3 linked regions of the Notamacropus eugenii genome follow. The protein of the gene in region 2 interacts with the protein of the main gene of each other region in a pairwise test. Links are inferred from orthologs where the notes say so. Each region holds a gene or a part of one and is shown on either strand. Other genes may lie near its edges.

Evidence for each region. The genes of interacting proteins can lie anywhere in the genome.
Region 1: the proteins of DTNB (region 2) and DMD interact in binary tests that used the Homo sapiens proteins (3 or more experiments, as listed by UniProt). The link is inferred for Notamacropus eugenii from reciprocal best matches to the Homo sapiens genes DTNB and DMD.
Region 3: the proteins of DTNB (region 2) and BEGAIN interact in binary tests that used the Homo sapiens proteins (3 or more experiments, as listed by UniProt). The two-hybrid records come from large-scale screens. The link is inferred for Notamacropus eugenii from reciprocal best matches to the Homo sapiens genes DTNB and BEGAIN.

What each region holds. Positions count from the first base shown.
Region 1 is NC_092876.1:441,926,164-441,934,029, reverse strand, and holds the start of DMD (dystrophin), read right to left. Parts: upstream 3,338-7,866; 5' UTR 3,246-3,337; coding exon 3,215-3,245; intron 1-3,214. UniProt on the Homo sapiens protein: Anchors the extracellular matrix to the cytoskeleton via F-actin. Ligand for dystroglycan.
Region 2 is NC_092872.1:526,514,452-526,522,203, reverse strand, and holds the start of DTNB (dystrobrevin beta), read left to right. Parts: upstream 1-4,364; 5' UTR 4,365-4,495; intron 4,496-7,752.
Region 3 is NC_092872.1:354,341,326-354,350,041, forward strand, and holds the start of BEGAIN (brain-enriched guanylate kinase-associated protein), read left to right. Parts: upstream 1-5,379; 5' UTR 5,380-5,494; coding exon 5,495-5,545; intron 5,546-8,716. UniProt on the Homo sapiens protein: May sustain the structure of the postsynaptic density (PSD).

The DNA of each region.
Region 1 (7,866 bases), on a different chromosome or scaffold from region 2:
ATAAATCATCTTAATAAGCCAAAGAAATATTAAAGAAAGGTAGAGGGAAGGAGGTACTAGAAAATTACTTTGTGTTACTCCGTTGATAAGACAAAGAGGAGAGATTAAAAATAAAACAAAACACATGACTTTCCCAGAGAACAAAGATTTCATTATCTCTCTTATTAAACCTCAGCTGTGGATAAAACCTTCACAGTTTGTCAAACATATGGCCAGTGACTTAGAACACAGATTTTAAAGGTTTTAAAATAAGGCTTCAAGCCAGAAAGAGATGTCCTACTTCATATTTGCCTCTGCTTAATGAATGTGTACTTTAGTACGACTTAGATAATAGGGAACGATTAAACATGAGAGTCTATAAACCTCTTTCCCCACAAGAATACACTTTAATGAGTAGGTATGCTTTAGGTCAGCTAGGTGGTGCAGAGGATAGAATGCTGGCTGAAGTCAGGAAGACTCATCATCCTGAGTTCAAATCTGACCTCAGATACTGATTAGCTGTCTGATTCTGGGCAAGTCACTTAACCCTGTTTGCCTCAGTTTCTTCATCTGTAAAGTGAACTGGAGAAGGAAATGGCAAACAATTCCCAATATCTTTGCGAAAAAAAAGCACAAATATGGTCACAAAGAGTAGGACATGACAGAAGAACAGATTTACATACCATAAATATGCTGTTTTAATTCCATTTTGTTCTCCTAAAACTATCATGTTTCTCTCCCTTTCTTTTTTTCCATGTCTCTCTCTGTCTGTCTTTATGTATGTATGAGTGTGTGTGTATAAACATACATATTCATGGATGATATATATACACAATTTACAAAATCATATATGTAAAATAAACCTGAACTCTATATACATGTTAAAATTATTACACGTATGTAGGTAAATAGAATCTATGGTACATGATGAGAGTGACCATCATCTTGCATTCAAAGCTTGTCAGATTATAAATTTAGGAAAATAAATTACAAAAGCACGCTATACAGCAGATTAAATTGGATGTGAATTTTACTGACAGTAAGTAGCCTGCCTATAACTTCCAAAATATAATGTTGAAAAACTATGACTCTGTATTCTATCTCTCATCCTGTATTCAAAAGATGATCAACATTGAGATTCAAGGCAGTAATACTTTTTTATAGAAAATAACCTTTTATAAATATCCTTTTTTTATTTATTCTATGAATCTCCAATATTATTATCACCATTAAATAGTGCATCCACTAAGGCACTGAACTGTGAGATAAAATGTTAAGACACCTTTCTTGCTTTTCCTAGTGAACACAGTCTTTAAAATTTAAATAGAGTATTGATACTAGTCTTCACAGGAGTAAGAACAAGATAATATTTATAGCCACATTAAGGAGCCTTGGACTTGGAGTTAAAAGACCTGAGTTCAAATCCTCCCTCTGCCAAATACAGTGTGTCTTTAAGCAAGTCACATAATTTCTCCAGGTCCAGTTTCCTCATCCATAATATGATAGAATTGGATTATATAACCTTTAAAGCCCCTTCCTGCTCTAAATCACTTTATCACAGTCTTAGATTTAGTAGGGACCATTCAACCAAATTTGTACCTACCAAGGTTTTTCATACAACATACCTAAAAAGTGGTCATTCATAACATATCTGAAGAATTCTAATGAGGGAGAACTTCTTACCTCTAACCAGAGCTCATTCTACTTTTGGATAGTCTAAATGTTAGGATTTTTTTTCTTTTTCTTTTATATTCTAATAACTATGTATTCACATTTCACAATTTTATCGATCTTATCAGAGATTATAAGTTGCCACAAATGATTATACATGCCTATAAGCTATATCTTACTTTTGACAAACATTTATAAATTAATTTATTTTCATTTTTCCTCTAACTACTCTTTTAATTTAAGATCATCTCTTACAGAGAATTGATATGTTATCAAAGATTAAGTATCATGATGTATGTAATATATGCAAACATATACATTATTTAAAATTAATTTAACTCAGAGAATTTTTTTAATGGGAATGCAACCCTGGTGATTTCCAACACTACATAGAATAATAAAAGGAAGTAATGAAGTGTATACATTCCAAAACCAGGAGCTACCAATATAAAATCATTAATTCCTTCGCGCAAAGTTTTCTCAGCAACATTTTTCTTCTTTTCCTGAAACTGATGAACAGTTATTGAAATTACTGGGTTATTTCCCCTCTCCTAAATACAGTTTCAGTCCTTGAATCTATTTGAGAGTGGCGATAATCTTAGATCTATAAGAGTTAAGAAACAAGTAAAACAACCACACACATCTCTTAGGTAATCAAGTCAACCCATCTCTTTGGAACAGATTGTCCTCACAATACATCATTTTTATTTGCTTATTGCAATAAAAATTTAAAATACCTAGGGAGCCATGATCTGCTTCAAAATAAAGATGCTAAAGAGTTGGTCTTGGAATAGTGGCAAACCAAAAGTATCTGAGTGAAAACAGCTTAGTCATCACAGATATAAAAGATGAACAGTATTTTAAGCTAACTTTACTACTAAGCATAGTTAAAATTCCCAAAAGTTTTAAGATATTTCCTCAGTTCAGAAGGCATTCTTTCATACTCTAGGACAATTCATACATGAGTACTACCTAGAACTGAAAATAGAAGACAGCCTCTTAAAATGAAGAATAATAAGATATCCTGGAATATAAGAGAAAGAAGGCTGGATAAATCTTTCCATTCTGTCCTAATCTATCTCAACTCACTATACTTATTAAAACATACATAGTTTTATCCCAGACCCTTCCCTCTCCCTTTTGAAAGGTAGTTTATTAGTTCTTACATTAGCTGGGAATATTACAGATAACTGTCACACATAAAAAACACTAACACATTTACATATATGTATATACCAATAAACATAGACAACCATGGAATTTAACTTATGGGAGCAAAACTTCTGATATAAATATTAATACCTTACTACTTCTACTTTTAACACAAAAGTATTTAAGATCATTCTGAATACTGGTAATTATTGTCCAGTAAGACTGGAAAAAAAGTTTTCCTAATTCAGTATATTTACCTATAAGTAACTACTTGTATATTCATTATTGTACACAATACATGAGCATTTATATTACCTATTTTATTTTCTTAAGCTGAAATTCTTATAATATTTGACATTTAAAGTTATATGAGAAACACAAAAATCATAAAACTATTTTAGTCTATACTTACAACAGTCTTCTGCTTCTTCATACCAAATCATTTGGACAAAAATAAAATATCAAGGCAACAGGGAATATCTTAATGAAAATGTCCTCAGCTTTATTACTCCAGTAGGTTTTTTAGAGTTAGGCGAGTCAGTAAAAATGAGAAGCCAAAGTAACCTTCCAAAAAAAAAAAATAAATAAAGCCCTCTCTGTTTTCTTTGAAGTTTATCTCTAAAGTTCACTGCTTCTAAGGTCTGAATCTTGTAAGGGGAGAATGAGTGAGCCTAACTCCCAAAGAGTCAGTCGATGTAGTAACTGATGCCAGGATTCCATAGAGGTCCCTAGATGTTTCAAATTCCAGGACCTGCGCAGAAGCAGGCAGCTGGGCTTCCCTCAAAACAAGTTGGTTTCCCATAATAGGACTGCCCATGAACTCTACATATAAGGCTGTGCTTCCAGGATGGCATGTACTGTATAACAAATTCAAAAGATGACCAACAGCTTCCTGATTAGCAATGAAGCTAAAATAGTAAAGTAGCTAGAGTACTGCTCTCTGTGCCTCTTAAATACACAAAGACTGTCGTGAAAAGTCCTAACAATAATTTCTAAGTATCTTCCCAAAATTCATAGAATTTTCTCATTCTTATCAATGCCAAATTTTCAAAAGCTTCTTCTCTTTTTCAATTCAAATGCACTTGCAGTTTTTTTTTCTTTTTTCTGACTGACATGCAAATGCATGCCTGGAATGATTTGTGCATGAATTATGTATCCAGAAACTACAAATATTAATTTACTTCCCTTGGGATCCAATCAAAAATCATAAATTGATGATGCAAACAATTCAGAGTTGAGTCTAAGTAGGAGAAAGTTGCAGTAGAGAGCTGTAGTGAAAATATGTCTCCCAGGGAGCGTTATTCATTTAAATGAAAGAATATAAACTTTTTTGGGGAAACCCATTAAAGTTTCAGGTTAAACTAAAACTTCTTTCCTAATCATGTACTCTTTCTTAAATTTATTCACTGACAACAAGAAAAAATGCCATTCTGTTTGACATTCAAATAAACAGGTTGAGCACAAGGGAAAAATATTTCAGTGTAGAACTGGAATAATTGTGCTTTGATTTACACAATAGATGTTGCCAGCAAATCATAGAAGGTTAGAGTTGAAGGGGTCTTTCGAGAAGATTTAGTAAAGTATCCTCATTTTACAAATAAGGAAATTGAAGCTCATGGAGGGTAATGGTGTGTTGAATATCATGTCCTTAACAGTGGATTGGGTCCTGAATCTGAAGACGTCTGCCTTCCACTCCCATATTCTGTTCACCAAATTGATAACCAAGTATTAACTTTGTGGGGCAGCTAGTTGGTGCAATAGATAGAACACTGGTCCAGGAGTCGGGAAGACTCAACTCCCTGATTTTAAATCTGGTCTCAGGTTCACCAGCTGTATGACCCTGAACAAGTCACTTAACTCTATCCCAGTTTCCTCATCTGTAAAATGAGTTGAAGAAGGAAATGGTAAACCACTCCAGTATCTTTGCCAAGAAAACTCATAAATGGGGTCACAAAGAATCAGACAACTGAAATTACTGAAAAATAACAAAATTAACTCTGTGTGGGGGGGAAAGGGGTTGTATTGGTGGATGGGGGTGATAGGAGAGATAAATAGACTAGTTTTTAATGCAATAAGGTAACCCAGTATTAAAAATCCTGTGGTGTCCCCTTACCCTTTAGGAGTAAAATTCATTTGAAATGCCTATTAATACAATTTAAGTCTGGGAGGACTTTTAAGGAGGGATTAAAATCTGAGCTGGTGGTAGAAGTATGTACATTGCTGAAATCAAGGACACTATCCACATCTCAAAATTTGTAAGATCAGAATCTCAATGTTGTTTCTTTGGTACTTACTTCCTAGTAATTTTACATAAATTTACTTGGAAAAGGCAAGGAAAACTGTCCCAGTGCAAAAATAATAATGAAAACAATTTTGATCTATGGTAATGACTTGTAGATTATACCTTCAAGAAACAGTGAATCAAATAAAAATTCTATTATTAAAATGTAAAGACACTCTTTATTAAGAATACTTGGCATACATCAGCTTGAAGGGTGTATGTGTGTGTGTGTGTGTGTGTGTGTGTGTATGTGTGTGTGTGTGTGAAGACTGATTAGACCATCCTAAAAAGCAAATTGAAGGGGGAAAAAAGACTTAAAAGGACACATCAAATGTCAAAATTGCTTAGAAGATGTTTTAATGTCATGTGTTAAGGGGTTGTGTTGTCCACACATTGCAACTCCTGTGTGTGTCTGGGACTAGTAACTGATGATTACCAACAACTGGGAGAAAGAAAAATACTACTTATAAACAAGGTTCCCAAAGATTCATTGAGCAATTTTAAGCTTAAAAAAAAAGATTTCAAAGCTTACTTAGACTTTTGGGACATCCCTGAATGAGGGATATTCAATAAGAGGGAGGAAAATCTGTATTACTAAGAAAAAAAGCATCAGATGATTTACAATATTAAATGAGTAGTTTAGAAAGAGGAAAAAAAGATGTGATTGAACAAAATTGTGACTAAAGGAGAAAGGTTTTTTAACCACTAATTATGTCTTTTTTTATTACGTACCTTCACAGAATAATCACTAATTAATTTGTCAAACACTTTATAGAAGAGAAAATGAAATATGAATTGTTATAATTTAAAATGCACATGCTTTACTGTTGCTAATAAGTATTCTTACAATAGATGTAATACTTCCATTTCACACTAAATGGACTGGCTGTGCCTACCGTTAGGTAGGTATGGGTTGGCAGTGAGGAGAAAGGAAAAGTCTGAGCAACATTATATATTCTACCTCTAAGATTCTAAAGGGCACTAAACAAGATCTCTGTCCCAGAGAATATGTGTTCCAGGCCTATGGATCAATATATCAAACAGAAAATAGGTCCCTGCATTCAGCCCTCTAAATATATCGAAGAAACACTAAAAGGTCCTCTGAGACCTGACATAAACTGTATGTCCACATACAAGTGGCTCTCGATGTGCCAATAACTTCAGATTTAAAAGACTTGAACTCCATATTTATTTAACATAGACTAATGTTGCATATTGTGATTCTCTGGCCTTCATCCTTGGTTAGTATTTATTCAGTCCATCAATAAGAATTTATGAAATGCTCACTATATGTTATGTGCCAGTGATATAAAGAAAAAGTTCAGATAGTTCTTGTCCTCAGGACACTTACATTCCTCCTCAATTTCCCTTGGGATCTTTTTGGTACTAACATCCCTAATGTAAAAACTTGATATGTTAGATGCTAAGTGAAAGGAGTAGAACCAGGAGAAATTTGTACACAGCAACAACCACAGTGTGAGAGGAATTTTTCTGGTAGACTTAGCCCTTCACAGCTACGCAAGAACCTAAAAAATTCCCAATGGACTCTTGAGGCAAAATGCCTGCCACACCCTGAGGAAGAACTATAGAATTGGATTGCAGAATGAAGCAGACTATTTTCTCTTGTGTTATGTTTTGTTTTGTTTTTTTTCATGGTTTCTCCCATTCATTTTAATTCTTCTATGCAACTTGACTAAGGAGAAAATATATTTAATAGGAATGTATGTGTAGAACCTATATAACTGTATGTCATCTCAGGGAGGGAGTGGGAAGGGAGGGGGGAAAGTGGAGTTGGGAGGGGGAAAAATCTAAGATATATTGAAGTGATTATAGAATACTGAAAACAAAATAATTTAATAATAAAAAACTTAAAAGTCAATAAAACATAATATTTTGAGAGAAAAAATAAAATAAAACTTGATATGTTAAAAAAAAAAAAACAACTTAAATCAGACCAAGAAGACTAGAGCTATATAGCAATCTCCTTTTGCCCTGAGAACCACAAACAGAGCAGGCCGGGGTTATAAGGAAGGTATTTGTTTTTTGTTTTGATTTTTTTAAGCTACCAAGGTTAAATGACTTGCCCCTGGCCACAAAGCTAGTAATTATCTGAGGTCACATTTGAACTCAGGTCCTCCTGATTCGAGGTCTAGTGCTGTATCCACTGTGCCACCAAGCTTTTCCAGGAACAAGATTGTTTTGTAAAAATATTTTCTAAAAATTCTTCCAAAATGCTACTATTAACTCATTAACAAATATCATATACATATCATCCTATTGTCCCTTGCTTCTTTGATGAGCTTACAAATTCATCAAGAAAATAAGTAAAATGAAATGAGATGTAGGACTGCCTGGGAAGAGAAATAGAAGAACTGGTGACATTTACCTGCGTCCTACCATTGGAAGAGATATTCCAAGTTCCAAATGGCACATGAAAAAACTAATGGCTATTAAATTACATTGTCATTAAGCGCTAAATTGGGTGGAACAAACCATAAGTTTTGAAGAAACTCAGATAAGGGGTTCATTCATTCAACAGATATGTAATATGAATTTTCTACTTCTAGAAAGGAACTAAAAGAGACACTGAGAGAGTCACAAAGATAAATAAGACTTCATAGAAACACTGAATGTCAGAATTGGAGAGAACTCCTAGGGTTTCAAGTCTAGCTCAAAGCAGAAGAATACACAGGTCATTTAGCCACACTTGGTTAAAGGGCTCAATTGAGAGGCAACCTATTACCTCTCAAAGATGCCTGTTCTCCTTTGGGATAGAATGAGAC
Region 2 (7,752 bases):
CTAAAAAAATGACAATGCTATCTGTTCAAAACCAAGGCAAATCATTCAACATCAAAGTAATACAAATTTAGGCTCCAACCACTAAAGAGACCAAAGTTGCTCAGTTCTATGAAGACCTCTATCTTTTAGAAATAATATTAAAAAATGTCACATTCATCATTGGGATTGAAATCCCAAAGTAGGAAATCAAAAGATAACTGGAACAACAGGCAAGTTTGGCCTTGGAATACAAAGTGAAGTGGGGCAGAGACTAATAGAGTTTTGTCAAGATAACTAACTCACTACTCATAGCAAATACTCTTTTTCAACAACTCAAAAGGCAACTCAGCACAAGAACATCACTCGATAGTCAATCTTGAAATCAGTTTGATTATATACTTTGCATGTAAAGGAGGAGAAACTTTATATAGTCAGCAAAAAAAAAAAAGATCTGGAGCTGATGGTAGCTCAGATCATGAGCTTTTTACTGCAAAATTCGGACTTAAATTGAAAGAAGTAGGGAAAATCTTCAGACCACATATGTGTGACCTAAATAACATCACTTATGACTAAGAAGTGAAGGTGATGAATAGATTTAAAGGATCTGGTAGAGTGCCTGAAGAACTACAGACAGAGGTTTGCAATATTATATAGGAAGCAGCAACAAAAGATATTCCAAAGAAAAAGAAGACCAACAAAGGAAAACGACTGATTGAGACTTTACAAATAGCTTGGGAAAGAAGGAAAGTGAAAGGGAAAGGAGAAAGGCAAAGATATACTCAACTTAATGAAAGTAGAATTGCAGAGAATAACAAAAAGAAATAAAGCTTTTCTTAAATGAGCAATGCAAAGAAACAGAAGAAGACAATAGAATGGGAAAGATGAGATTTTTTCAAGAAAATTAGAAGTATCAAGGAAAGGTTTCATGCAAAAACAGGCAGTATAAAACACAAAAATGGTAGGGACTTAACAGAAGCAGAAGAGTTTAAAAAGAGGTGGCAAGAATATACAGAACTATACAAGAAAGATTTTAACATCATTAATAACCACAATAGTGTGGTTACTGATCTAGAGCCATACATACTACAGAAGTAAGTCAAAGTAGGCCTTAAGGAAGCACTGAAAACAATAAGGCTCTAGTGGAGATGACTGAATTCCAGCTGGGCTATTTAAAATCCTAAAAGATGTGCTCCATTCAATATGCCAGCAAAATGGAAAACTCAACAGTGGCCACTGGATTGAAAAAAAAAATCAGTTTATATCCCAATCATAAAGAAGGGCAATGCCATGGAATGTTCAAATTACGAAACAATTACATTCATTTCACATATCAGCAAGGTTATACTTAAGATTCTTCAGGCTAGGCTTCAGCAATATGTGAACTGAGAATTATGAGAAAAACAGGTTCGTTTTCAAAGAGGCAGGGGATCTAGAAACCAAATTGACAACATTCACTGTATTATGGAGAAAACAAGGGAATTCCAGAAAAAAACATCTTTTCCTCCTTTACTGACTATACTAAAGCCTTTAAGAATGTGGCTCACCACAAAATGTGTCAGGTCCTCAAAGAGATGGGAATACCACATCATCTTACTTGTCTCCTGAGGAACCTGCATGCAGGGCAAGAAGCAACAGTTTGACCAAAACACGGAACAACCTATTGTTTTAAGATTGGGAAAGGGTACAAAAATGCTGTACATTGTCACCTTATTTATTTAACTTATAAGCAAAGTACATATCATGTGAAATGCCAGGCTAGATGAATCAAAAGCCAGAATTAAGGTTACCAAGAGAAAGAGCAACAATCTCAGATATGTATTTAATTCTACTCTTAAGGCAGAAAGTGAAGAATGAAGAAGCCTATTGATGAGGGAGTGAAAGAGGAGAGTGTAAAAGCTGGCTTGAAATTTAACATAAAAAAACCTGTTAAGATCTTGGCAACTATTCCTATCATTCGACAAACCAGGGGAGAAGAAACAAAAGCAGTGTCAGATTTTATGCTCTTGGGCTCAAAGATCACAGCAGACAGCAACTGAAGTCATGAAATTGAAAGATGCCTGCTCATTGAAAGGAAAGCCATGGCAAATCTGGACAGCTTACTAAGAAGTGGAGATGTCACCTTGCCAACAAACGTCCATTAATCAAAGCTATGGTTTTTCCAGTAGCAGTATATGACTATAAGGAGGGCTAAGCACCATACAATCGGCAAGATTTTGAGAATTCTCTGGACAGCAAGTAGATCACTTGAAGTATCCACAAAGTTCTGACTTGGGGGAACCTGGACTCTGAAGAGAGGGATCTGAAGACTACTAAAAAGTAGTCTTTTGCTTGTTATGTCCCTATGTTGAAAACCTCAGAAAAATCAATTAAAGCTTTAGCTTGGCTCATGTGTACAATCTCCCCAAAGGGGATCAGACAGTTACTAAATGTACAATATAGCTTAGTTAGAGGACAGCCATTTATTTCCTCTCCACAAAAGAAATCCTCAAAAAACAACTCATAAATGTACACTGTAAAGACTTAAAATGTTACAGTAACTCATTAAAATATGATACAATAAGTCATAACTCCTATTCTACTCTCTCAGGAGGTTGGAACTTAAAAAAATTAAAACATGAAACATTTTGTGGAGCTGCTAAACAATCATTTAATCTTCACCTTGTCTCTGCCCTCTTTGAACAATTTCTTAAAGGTACAGTTCTCTAGCAAAACAAGTCAGGGCTTGAGTTTTTCCTCCTGTTTGTTGGCGGTCACCTTCTCTGAGAAAGGAATAGTTACAGAAAACTCCACTTCTCATCAGCTTCAACTATGAGATGCAAGATCTCCTGACCTGTCAGACTCATCAGGATGCCTCCAAACCTGGAAATGTCCATTTCAGGATTACTGTTTGGTCACTTGTGTTAAGAGAATGAATAAAAAGCAAAAAAGGCAGCCAAGGCCTTGAGATTCCTACCCAGGCTCACTTAGACAAACACATGCTCAGACTTCAATGAAACAAGAGACTGATAAGTTGGGGAGAGGAATGTACCCCTTTCTCTTATGAGAAGAGAAATCCTCACAGAACATGCCATTCTTGTCAAACTGAAAAAAGCAGTCCTCCAGAGGGCAGTCACTCCTTTCAAGGTTTACGGAGGGAGTGGCTCTTTCTGGCTCAGTGGTCAAGTCTCTTTCGAAGCATCTGTCTCCCCTTGCTGCCACCATTGGGACCAAGGCATTTTTACATGATCCCTGAACCCAGATTTTCCCCATGCTAAACCCGAGCATAAGCAGTCCACTGAAAGTGGTCAGGGGAGCTCAGATCAGTTTTATGCATGGTCTAAAGGGGGAATGCTCTAGCTGGAGCACAAAGGTGAGGGAAATTTCACGAATATACAAGTATGTATGGATGCGGATTAGACCTGTATAAGGGAACTCCCCAGGTGAGAAAACTCCCTCTATCAATTCAGTTCAGTATTTTCTCTGTAATTTATAACCTCTTTTAAGAGAGTTGCCTAGTACACTGAGAGATTAAGTTACTTGCCCTGGGTCATATATAGCCACTTGAATGCAGGTCTTCTGTGGCTTGAAGGCTGGGCCAGGTTGTCTCATATTTATATGATTATAATATAAAATGAATAATAAGTATATTTTAAAACCACCACTTAGATACGTTTCAATTATATGGAAAAGTCACATCTAGTTCACGTGAAGGGCACAGGGGTGCATCACCCTTTCAACAGTAATGACATTTATATAATAGCACGTTGGCTTCACAAAATACATTATCTGATTAGCTCCTCACAGTCAACTAGGGAGGTGGGTAATTAGTCCTACTTCACAGACAAGGAAACTGAAGGTCAGGGTGGTTGAGTGACTGGTCCGGGCCACAGTGAACGCAAATCTTCGGCTCCATCCACAAGACCTCCCCGCCCCCCGCTCGACAGGTACAGGTAGCAAGAAGCCTCCTCTCGGGCTGAGGTTCTGCTTCCCACCTTGGCGCAGGCACTGGAGCTCCCACTAGCAGGGATGCCCCGCTTCCAGGTGGCACTTTTTGTCCTAAGGGCCCGGAGAATCTCCTGAGGGGAAACTTCTCTGGGGCCCCCGGCTCCCGGACCCCCGGGACGCCCCACAGCCGGCCGAGCTCCGCAGGGACTGAGGGGGAAGGGCTCGAGAGAACCGGAGTGGAGCTCCGCGCGCGAGGCCCCGCCCCCGCCCCGTGCCTGTTCTCGCGCGGGCGAGGCGCTGAGCCGCGCGCGCCGTCGTCACCCCCTCCCTGCTGCGCGCCTCCAGCCCCCCAGCTCCCTTTCCCCCTCCCCCCTCCCCTCCGGCTCGGGTGCGCGCTCGGGGCTGGGGAAAGCGGCGCGAGCCGGGCGGCTGCTCACGTTCAGGCGCGGGGGCGGCTCCGGGGCCTGGGCGGGCGCTGCTGCCGCCGCCGCCGCGGGCAGCGGACCGAAGAGAAGGAAGAGAAGGAGGAGGAGGCTCCGGTTGCCGCCGCCGCCGCCGCCGCCGCCGGAGATCCTCCCCCCACCCCCGGGAAGTGAGTACTGCTGGGGGGCGGCGGCGGCGGAGGGCAGCCTGCTGCGCCCCCGAAGGAAGGCAGCTGGGTAGCCTGGCAGCCTGCTGGGGTCCTTGCGGGCGCGAGCTCCTGTCCGGGAGCTAGCGGACCCCGGAGCCCGGCTGGAGCGGCCCCCGGCGGGCGGGCTCAGCGCCGCGCGGGAGAGGGGCTGCTGTTAGTGCCGGGGATCCCGGGTCCGCACCGGGGCTCGAGGGGGAGGGGTGCCCGGCGGTGCCCCGGGAGAGCGTGCGGGCCGGGACCGGGCCGGTGCCAAGTGCGGCGTGCCGTGCCAGCGAGGCAGGACCTCGGGTGCCCGGTGCAGCTGCCGAGGCGCTGACCCGAGCTGGCGACTATGGGGCTGGAGGGAGAGCGATCCGAAGGCACACTGCAGTATATGCTTAGCCTCGGGAAAGGGGAGGGTCCCCTCCTGTCCCACCCTCTCCATCTCCCCTGCCCACCCCGTGCCAGGTTTGCAGCTGCTCTTTGCCACTCGAGAACGCGGCGGCGCCGGGGACTCCATGGCGCATTCGGTCCGGGAGCGGGGATGAGCCCTTGCTGATGTTGCCTGGAGGAAGCAGCTTCGAAAGAAGACGATCTGCAGCGAGTGCTGAAGGGGAGAATGGGGCAGGTCCTGGCAGAGGGCAGGTGAAGGAGGCAGGCCCTGGCAGAGAAAGTGGTTATCGGTCATCGAGTCTTGAGAGAAAACAAGAGACTTGCAATTAGAGTGACCTAGAGTTCTGAGCCCCTAAAGGGAAAATAGCTGTGGGATTTGAGGTCAGGTGTATGCCTGATTGTTAGGTTCCTTACTCTGGCCTGGGAATCCGGCCCTCTGGTATGATCATTAACAAATAGTTATTGAATGCCTACTTTAGGTATAGGGCACACAGTGCTAGGTAGGCATTGTAAAGGCCTCTTGAAGGGCCAGTAGTCCATTTGGGGAGACAAGAAACATATGAATACAGTGGCAGTGAGTTTTATAATTCATTACTTAGTTTTAACTTGCTGAACTCCTTTGCTCCTTTATCTGGACATTTGGAGCTTAAATGGCCGGTTTGTGGGAGAAAAGCACAAGGGTCAGATGAATAGCTGAGTGCAGTTTTGGGCTATTTTGGAAGCCCTCAAATTCAATACTTAGAAGGTGGGTGAGAAACCAGAGCCAGGATTTCATTAGCTGCTCAATTGGCCAACCTTTATTTAAGGTGAGCAGTACAGAATCACCGCTTCAGATTAAGGTGGACGTATGGACTTTTCACATGGAAGGTCGTTCCAACCATGTCAACATAGGTCTAACTCCTCAGTGTGAACAGTAACAGTGGCTACTGCTTATGGGATACACTGTTTTCTTGTCTGCATCATGTAAGCTGTATCAAAGGAGTTTCTTTAGGGTCTTAGAATGATGTGGTCTTTCCTTTTAGCTTGTAATGTGCTAGTTTCATGTAGATACTTTTACTTAAAAACCTGTACCCTTTCAGTTTTATCATGACGTCTTTGAGAAGAAAGTTATATGTTTTTAGTGTTGGTGAACTGTGAAGATTAGGATTCTTCTATTTATTCTGTTTCTTAGTTGAGTTTAGGGGTCTCAAGTTCCAGGCTGTTGTTTGACTTGCTTGGGTTGCACTGCCTGTTGGGTTACTTTGTCTGCCAAATTAAAACTTGACCTTTTATGAGTTCTGAGAGAATTCTTAGTACCCATAGGTGAAACTGGCCTTTAGAGTATAGTATGTTCTAGATAATACTGATAGATTTCAAAAGATCGAAGTAGTTCTTTAGTTGTGAACATATATTTAAGTAAAGCACACATATGCCAAGCACTGCGCTAAGCACTGGGTATACAAAGAAAGGCAAAAACCACTAGATCTTGGGATACAAAGAAAGGCGTCAACAGTGATAGTAGTAAACACTACTGTTTGTGCTTTGGTGCTATTAAATGACATATTTTAAATAGTTTTCATGAAATTTACTTGGGGAAGAGATGCTGGCAGCATATTCTTGTTAACTGTTCTAAACATGTTTTATAAATTCTAGACATTTAAAATAAACTTCCTACACAGGGAGTGAAAATTTTCTATTATGTGTATGCTGCTATTCCTTAGAAACAAAGTTCCTACTGGTAAAGGAGATTTAGATGTCAACTTAGCCAGCTTTTAATATATGCCTACTATGGCTAGGTGTGTATGTGTGTGTGTGTGTGTGTGTGTGTGTGTGTGTGTGTGTGAATATAACTACAAAAATGAATTACTTCAAGGAATTACATTTACTAGGTGTGAGGTTATACCATACTTATAGATAAGCAAATATAATACAGATGTAAAATGTTGGGGTTGGGGGAAGTTAAACTAACCACTAGGGGAATTAGGAGGGATTACTTGAAGGAGGGAGCAGTTGAATTGAGTCTTGAAAGGAAGTGGGCAAATTTCAAGAGTGAAAGCTAAAGAGGGAGAACGAGACCTGATAATTGATTGAGGGTGGGGTGGGTGGGAAGGGATGAGAGTGAAGAGTTGAGGGTGACTTCTAGGTTAGGAACCTGGGTGAATGGAAGAATGGTGGTGCCCTTGACAGAATTAGGGAAGTCAGGAGGAAAGATAATCAGCTCTGTTTTGGATATGTTGAGATTGAGATGCCTGTGAGACATTCAGATAAAAATCTCCAGTAGGTAGATGGAGATGTAGGACTGTAACTTACGGGAGAGATGAGGGCTCTGCACATAGAATTGGGAATCATCTGCATAGAGATGACTACTAAATCAATGGGAGTTGATAAGATCATTGAAAATAATTTTTCTTAGGCGCTGTACCTTGTTAGTAGTTGCACCAGGTCACAGTCATAAAATGTGAAAGGACTTTAGAAATCATCTAGCTGAGCCTCCTGATTTTACAAGGTAAAGGTAAAACAGTAGAATCATGACAAGAAGAACCCAGGTCTCCTAATTTTTAGTTTTTCAGTGCCCTCTCCAACCCACCAAAATAGTAAGCACACAAATACCTTTGAGCACATATGATATTTACTACTAACAGCTTATTTATTGGTTTGAGGATTCAGAGAATGGAAAAGATGTGACCAGAGAAATTTATGATGTGAAAAGATTGAGAGTAAGAGATAACTAATGAACCACAGTGCTCCATTGATACTCCACACAGTGTTAAGAGAACTACAGGAAGACTTCCAGCATTATAGGTAGATGTAAAGAAAATAGTTGCACAGTATAAGAAGGGAGGCATGATTTACCATCAATGGAAGTA
Region 3 (8,716 bases), about 170 Mb from region 2:
TTGAAATGTCAAAAGTCTCTGTCACTCCACCATGCCCTGTGAAGGAGATAATGTAGTAAAAGATAGTTTTTCTGCCTTCAAGATTTTGTTGTGGTTCAGTCATTTCAATCATGTCTGCTTCTTCATGATCTCATTTGGGGTTTTCTTAACAACAATACAACAGTGGTTTGCCATTTCCTTCTCCAGCACATTTTACAGAAAGGGAAACTGAGACAAATAGAGTCAAGTGACTTCTCAGGATCACAAAGCTAGTAAGGATCTGAGGCTTAATTTGAGCTCAGTCTTCCTGACTCCAGGCTCAGCACTGTATCCACTTTGCCATCTAACTGCCCTCCAGGTACTCATAGACTAATGAGAGAAATATAACACATGTATAATCATAATCACTTTTAAATATACTAAATATTCAGCAATGTAGAGTAACCATGCAGGGTCAGCTTCTGGCCCTGATGAAATCTATCTTCAAGTTTTTTACTGTTCCCTCTTTAAAAAAAAAAAAAAAAAGGCTTAACTTGGTCATACTAAGAGGCAGCTAGGTGGCACAGTGATTCAAGTGCTAGACATGAAATTAAGACTTGAATTCAAAGTCTGCCAGAAGTAATTTCAAGAGAAAACACTAAACACTTTAGGTATCAGGAGACAATACCTGATCTGGACTGAGTCGGAAGCCAGGGCTTCCTAAGAGCCACAAGACCATTCCTGACACCTCAATTGATTGGTACTATCTCTCTCTTGAAATTACTTAGTACCTACCTACATTGTAGCTATATACCTATTTATATGTGGTATCTCTCCTCTCTCCCCTCCATTTCCCTCATATCTTGCTACTTGTGTGAACCTGGGCAAGTCACTTAATCTCTGTCTATATCATTTGTAAAGTGGGGATGATAATAGCACTGACTTCTCAGGATGGTTGTGAGGATAAAATGAGCTAATATCCATAAAACTCTCTTGAATTTTGAAGAGTTGGATAAATGTTAGCTATTATTATCACAATATCACTAGTTTACACACTGCTTTAAAATTTACAAAATTCTTTGCCTGCCAACAACCTTGGGAAACATTTTGACAATGGCATTGTCTGCCTTGGAACAGGTGCAGGCAAGAGACAGAAGTGAACTCTTCACACCTGGGTCCCCTTTGGGGTTTCTCAAGTTTGGGAGGAGAGATGTCTGCTTGTGTGTAAATGTGTGTGCACGTGTTTGTGTTTGTGATGACTTCTGCATAGTATGGGACACTAGGGGTGACTGTATGTCAAGGAGGGGACCATGTGATGAGGAAAATGAGAAGGGAACAAATGGAACTTATCCAAGGGAGCTAGGAAAGATATACTTAGAATCAATCTTTCTGTAGTTTGCTCTGCCAGACTGGGAACTGGATGGAAATATTGGCTAGTTTCTGCCTTCAAACTTCCCTTTTCTGTCAAGGGCATCACCCTCTTCTCAGTCACCCAGATTAACAACCTCAGAGAAATCCATGGCTCTCTCCTGTCTCTCCCTTTCCCTAGCCAGTCAGTTGCCTGTTCTGTGGCCTCTTTTCTTGCTCTCCATTCAGATAGGAACCTCTGTGGTTCCAACCCTCACCACTTCTCACCTGGACTTTAATAATATCCTCTTAGTTGGTCATCCTCTTTCCAGTTTCCTCCTCTCTCGTTAATCTTCCACATAGCTGCCAAAATCATTTTCAGAAGGCATAATTCTGACTATGTCACTCTGGATAATTATAGCACCTATCTCCCAGGGTTGCTGTGAGGATTAAATGAAATAATAAAATGCTTAGCACCGTGCCTGGCACATCGTAAGCTCTATATAAATGTTATTGTTATTTACTACCCATTGTCGTTAGAATAAAGTACCAGCTCCTCAGCCTCACATTATTTCCTTTCACATACTATTCATTCTAACCAAACTGAACATTTCATTTCTGTCTCTGTGCATTAGCAGAAGGCTTTCCCCCATGCCTGGAATGTACTCCCTTCTCATGTCCAGCTTCTCAGAATCTTTCTCTTTATTCAAGGCTTAATTTGGGTGCCACCTCTTTCATGAAGCCCTTACCAATGCCTCCAGTTGATTACACTCTCTCCCTCCTCCTCAAATTATCTTGTATTTACTTATCTGTACACATGGCTTCCCAGTAGAACATAAACTCCTTTAGGTCAAAGGCAACTCTCTCTCTCTCTCTCTCTCTCTCTCTCTCTCTCTCTCTCTCTCTCTCTCTCTCTCTCTCTCTCTCTCTCTCTCCCTCTCCCTCTCCCTCTCCCTCATTTCCTTTATAATCAAAGCACCTAGCATATAGCAAATGCTTGGGAATGTTTGTTGAATTAAAATGATATTGTAGGAGGATAATTGTACAGGAATAACTTGATGTCCTCTGAGTTCCATTATAACTGAGAATCTGTGATTTGCTAGCTACATAATCTTAGGTCTAACATTTTTGAGGTAGAAAGCAAGCAAATTCAACATAAACAAAGTTCAGTAGGAAAAGCAGAAACATGTTCAGAACCAGTTCTCAGTTATTATGAGTAGATATAAGATTGCAAGAAAGGAACCTAAGAAAGCAACTAGTTCAAACCCTTCATTTTACAGATATAATGAGGGCAATGGTTAATGGGTTTGCAGTCCTCAGAGCATGTTCAGGGGGTGGTTGGATAGAAAGTGGCCTTCTCACTGTTAACCCATATGGTGAGCTTGGAGAATTTGCTTCTGGAAGTCCCTGAAAACTTATAATCGAGAGGCTCTGCTCTTATCGTGAAAGTATCTCAGTAAATGTTTCCTGTCCACTTAATGTGGAGTTACAAAAACCATTTTAAATGACTTGTACCAGATATGCGAGTGCATACAAAAAGCTCCAATGGAGAAACTCTCTTCCTTGGTAACAAGCAAGGCAAGAACTTCTATAAGGCTTCTGGTGGATAAAAGAGGTAGAGCTAGCAGACTGTTCTCCCCACCAGGGCAGATAACTAGCTGTGAGCATATAATGTCTCTGTTTCTTTGTGTTTCTTCTTTCTTAGTCTTAGATGATTGAATATTGAATACAGAAGAGGTTTTTGGATTTGAAATGAGAAAATCTGGGTTTAGGTTCTAGCCCTGCTCCATACTGCCTATAGGACCTAGGGAGCCCCTTCCCTTCACTGGACCTGAGTTTCCTTAATTGTGTAGCTCAAATAGATCCTGGGGTTCCTTCTCCCAACTTCCCACTCCTGGACACTAGGCTTTGCCTTTTTTTAGCTTGGTTCAGCAGCTGAGAACAAGAAGGAACCAGCACTGAGTAATGACCTGCTTTAATCAATCTACCAGTGAATCAACCAGGCAGTAGAGAAGTTATGTCCTTGTAAGCAATGGAAGAACTTGTTCTTTGGCAATTCCATACTTAGAAATGAATTGAATAGTGAAAATATTGTGTTGTCACTATTTTAAGTTTGAGCCTACTATCCCCAGGGATGGAGGGATATATAGAGGGGAAAGGGTGCTCCTAGATTCAGAGGTATTTTGGTTCTTGATTTTTTTATAGTAAATATTTCTTTGTAAAAGTTCATTGATGTTAATTGATTAACTGATATTGGAGTGATAATTGCTGGTGATATTGGAGGAGAAGGGAACACACTGATTGAGGGGGTTGAGTAGCATTAGAAAGATACTCCAACACCTTAGGGATCCCCCTATAATTTTGAAAGGGAAGTGTGGCATCCATCTAGGGAACCAGCTTTCTAGGACAAGTGGGAATTGGGGGAAGGAACCCTAGAGTCTATATGAGCTACACATTTAATGAAACCAAGGCCCAGAGAAAATAAGAGGCTTCCTAGGTCATACAGGTAGTATGTAGCAGGGCTAGAACCTAAGGCCAGGTTTTCTCATTTCAAATCCAAACCTCTTTCTATTATAGCATGTAGATGGAAAATATACAAATCAACAAGGACAACCAGGCATTGACTCTCAAGGCTTCTACTGGAGTCAGGGTGAGAGCAATATTCTTATACTGTGGACCTGGAGAAATTGCTTTCAGCACTCATGCTGGGAGGCCATGTATCTTAGTGCAAGTACTGAAGGGAAACAAGAAAGCTGAACACAAGTCCTCTGCCACTGGATAATGGGTGACCTTGAGCAAACCTTTCATTTCTCTTGCTTGTAGTTTTCTCCTCTGTTAAATATTGATAAAACTAATACTGCTCACCTTCTAGGATTATTTGTAGATCAGATTAGAATGGATGAAAGTACTCTGTGTCAGACTTATAATTTGAATGACAGTATAGTAAAAAAAGGTCACTGGACTATGTTTCTGGTTTAGCTCTGACACTTATTTGTGTGACCTTAAACCAGTCATTTCAACTGTCCAAAGCTCAGTTCCCTCATCTGCACATCAGGGGTAATAATGTTTGAACTACCTCCTTGGCCTTTTTGCAAATAAGGTGACCTTTAAATTGTAAAGTACCATAGAAAAATAGTCATAATAAATATTGTGTGACCCAACTGAATCAGGAGATCCCAACTGATTCCTTGTTCCCTTAGTTTTCAGTCTAAGAATTTAGGATTTTAAGCTCTTTTCTTCCCCCCCCCCCCACCTCAAATTACACCTAGGCCTGACTATCCTTACTCTAACCACAAGTTCCTAACAAACTACCTCGCTAAAAATCAGGAACTAACACCTTAAAAAGATAATATTTGATTTAACTTAGCAGGCATTAATTGGGCATCTCATTTGTGCCAGGCAACATAGAGCAGTGGATAGAAGTCTGGCTTTGGATTCAGTAAGAACTGAGTTAAAATCCTGCCTCTGAGGAACAATAAGGTTGCTGAGATGCTTTGACAGAAGGAATTTCCTCCCCAGAAGTTTCAATACACCAGTGAATTCACAGGTCTCGGTAAGAAAAATGAGCCAGGCAAAGGGACCAGAAAAAAGTCTCTGCCCTCAGAGAATTTATATTCTATTAGGAGAAAATACTGAGTACACAGATAAGTCTCTACACAGTAATGGAGGGTGAACACTCAACCAGAGGATCAGAAAAGGCCTCCTGTAAAAGGAGGCTTTGAGAGGAGCCTTGAAGGGAGGGAAATCTAATGATTCTGTGGTGCAGGTGGAGTGTGTTCCATAGGATGTCAGACTGGAAGGGACCTTAGAGACCAACTGGGTTATTTACATATGGGGAAACTGAGGCTTATTGAGGGAAGTCACAGAGGCAGTTGGAGCAAGACTCGGACTCGAACCCATGTCACACCGTTTCCTCCTAGTTCTTTCTCCGCCTGCCGCCTCCTCTCGTGCTGCACCCCAGGGGTCGGGGACCAGAGCGGGGGCGTGTGTGAAGGAAGTCAGGGATGGGGTGGGGGTGGGGCGGTGGTCCAGCCTCTCGCCTGTTCCGTCATGAAGAGTCCGCGCGGGCGCCTCCCAGCCTGGCCGAGCCGGGGCCGCGGCGCCAGCCCTGTACGCGCCTGCTTGGCTGCCTCGCTCCCTGCCGGAGCAGAGCAGCCCCAGCTGCCGCGCCTCGTCCCCGCGGGTCACCATGTGGAGCAGCGGCGGCTCCAGGCGAAGGGCCGGCCGGCTCCCCCGCGCCGTGAGTACCTCCTCATCCCCTCCTTTCCCCTCCCGCTGCCAGTCACCCCCTCCTTTCTCTCCCCCCCTCCTCCCCTGCCTTCCAGCCTTCCCTCCCTCCCTCGCTTCTCCCCTCCCCCTTCCTCTCCTCCCTCCTCTTTTTCTTTCCCTCTCCTCCTTCCCCTAGCTCACCCCCTTCTCTCTTATCCCACTTCTCCCTTCAGCTCCCTCCACCCCAGCTTCTGCTGTGCGCCTGCGGTGGTCTTGGGGGACTGCGGAGGGAGGTAGAGGGAAACCTGCCACAGGAGCTGTCCAGCCCCCAGAGACTGCAGGGCTTACCCTCGGGACGCCGCCCTCGGTTCACACCACCAGCAGCCCCAGCCTAGAGAATCTCCCTTCTGAAAAGCCCCCTTTAGGATAGCCTGACAGGAGTGCTTGGGTTTGGGACAGAGGTGATTCGGTCCTGATTTCCAAAGACCGGCCGAACGCATTAACCGAATAACGCCTCCGCCTTATTTCTTTCTTGGCTTCCCGGCTCCAGAGTGGCGCCCGGGGTCTTCCCTGGTCACTGCGTGCGTGAAAAGCCTTGGGAAGAAAACTGCAGTTATGCTTTTGCAGGGGAAGGGTTGGAATATATATGTGTGTGTGTGTATATATATGTATATTTCCCCTCCCCGACTGCTTTCGGTCTAGAGAGCATGCATGCCTCAACCTTTTCAGCTAAATGCCTAGTTGGTTTAGGGATTTCCCTGTGCATGCTTAGGGGATGACTCCCTAATCAAGAGCAATCACCAGGCACTCATCTCCCACTTTGACCCGAGGGTTGCCACCTTCCTCTCCAGTTCCCAGGTCACAAACGTAGATTGTCAGAACTTGGAGGAACCTTATTGACCATGTCCTCCAACTTCATCCATTATTTTACAGAGAAGGAAACTGAGATCCAGAGAAAGGGATTTGCCTAAGATCACACAGCCATCTAAATGACGGCAGTACCAGCACTGGAAACCCCTGTCTCCCAACTCCCATTCCGGTGTTCTTTGCACTTCAGCTCACAACTTCCTTTGCTAATCCCTAGTCTTGATATTGGGATGCAGAAAGAAGCAGGGGGTCAGGGTTGCACACAGGCAGATGTTGCTACCTTAAGTAAGCCCTGGAGGTTCAGAGAGAAAGGGGGAGATAGGGAGGGAGTCCCTGGAGCTAGAGCGGTTGAGCCAGGTCGCAGCAAAGCCTGCTTAGTAAAACCTGTGCTTCCCCATCCTCTGCCCCTGCTGGCGGCTCCAATTCAGTTACTGCACCATGTGACAGTTCCCCTGCCCCCACCCCCATGCTGAAAGAGCCTCTTGGGGAGCCTACAGTTTTTTAGCACTGGAGGAAAGGAGATCCCTGGGGCAGAGGCCCAAGGTAACTATCAGAGTAGCAACTCACATTTCTCTGATGCTTTGTACTTTCCTCACTACCTGTATGTGATTCAAGTGATGCCTCACTTTTATACTGATGAGGAAACTGAGGTCCAAAGGTGAAACGACTTGCCCAAAACTCCATAGATATGATGGAGCGAAGCCAGGATTCCTCCCAGATCATTTGGCTCAAAATCCAGGGCTCATTCTACTATACCATGCTGGCAAGAGGCTAAGGATCCAGAGATGAAGGTGCCCCTGTCTCTTTCTTCTTCGTTTTCCTCAGCACTTGCTTAAGTAGGCATTAAATACATTCCAGTTGAATTGAGGCTCAGAGGAGGAAAGGACTCCAGTAGGGCTGTCTAGTCCAGTTCCTACCCAAATCCCCTTCATAATATCTTCAATAAATGGTTCAACCCTGCCACTATTTTTGGTCTGAAGAGAGAAGGGTCACATTTTTGGACTGACACTATCAAAATGAGGGACATCCAGAGAAATTATTGTAACAGTGAAGGGACCGCATAGCAAAAGATTAGTTGAAAAAACTAGGACTATTTAGCCTGGAAAAGAGAATACTAGGACTTTATTGATATCTTCACATGTATGACGGGCTGTTATGGGAGAAATGATTATTAAATAACCAGTTGTTAACACTGGGGAGATCCAGGATTTTTTTCCTTCCTATTTCCTCATTTGGAGAGCTTAGTTCTTTGACAGGAAGGGTTAATGATTAGATGAAATCTTGGGTAAGACTTATCCAACCAGGAAAGCTTAGATCTGATTTTGTTCTTTCCAAACAAGTCTGAGTGGAGTTGGACTTTCTTTACCTAGATTGCCTTAGTTGGGGTATAGTGATGTTATATGGAAAAGAGCACAAGATCCAGGGGTTAATTGACTTAGAGCTAAAAGAGACCTCAGAAACCATCTAGTTGGCCTGTAGCTCCACTTTATAGAAGAGAAAACTTAGGCCCAGAGAAGTTAAGGAATTTGCCCAGTCACGCAGGTAGTGTCAGAGGCAAGAACTGAACCCAGCTCTGATGCCAGAGGCAGAGTTCTTTCCACTGTTGTTCTGCTTTGGTACCAGAAGGCAGGAGGAGCAGCTAGTTCAGAAAGATAGGATGGGGAGAAGTAGGTTAAAGGACTATTTGTCAGGTATGTTAGGGATGAGATCCATACTTCAATGCTGTTTGAACTAATGACCTCTGATGTCACTTCTGGCTTCAAAATTCTTTGGTGATCCACTTGTCCAGGACTACTTAATACTGTGGAATTTAAGGAAAATCATCAAGTCCTGGAGTTTTTAGGGAAAACTTCAAAGAGAGAAGTGAGTGCTAAGGGAGAGTAGCTCTTGAAGGACAGATAAATTTTGTACTGGAAGATGAGAAGATGTCTGGTTGGAGGAAAAGAATACACACAACGAGAGGAGGTTGTGAATTTGGGGGGTTGGATGGGATACCCTATAGAGGGCCTTGAATGGTAGGATAAGAGAAAAAGGAAGAGCAGGACCAATTCAATGATTAGCCATTAATAATAATAGTGTTATCATTCCTGGTACTTTGAAATGATTAGCCCAGAGAAAGCAATATAGATTAAAAAGAGCATAGAATTTAGAGCAACAAGGGGTCTCAGAGATCATCTAATCTAATCCCCTTCTTTAACAGATGAGAAAACTAGGGTCTATTAAAGTTAAGTGGCTTTCCCAATATTGCTTAGGTAAGTAACAAAACTGGTATTTGAATGGAGGACCTCTGATTCCAAATTCAGCGCTTATTACAGTATATCTTGAGCTTCCCTTC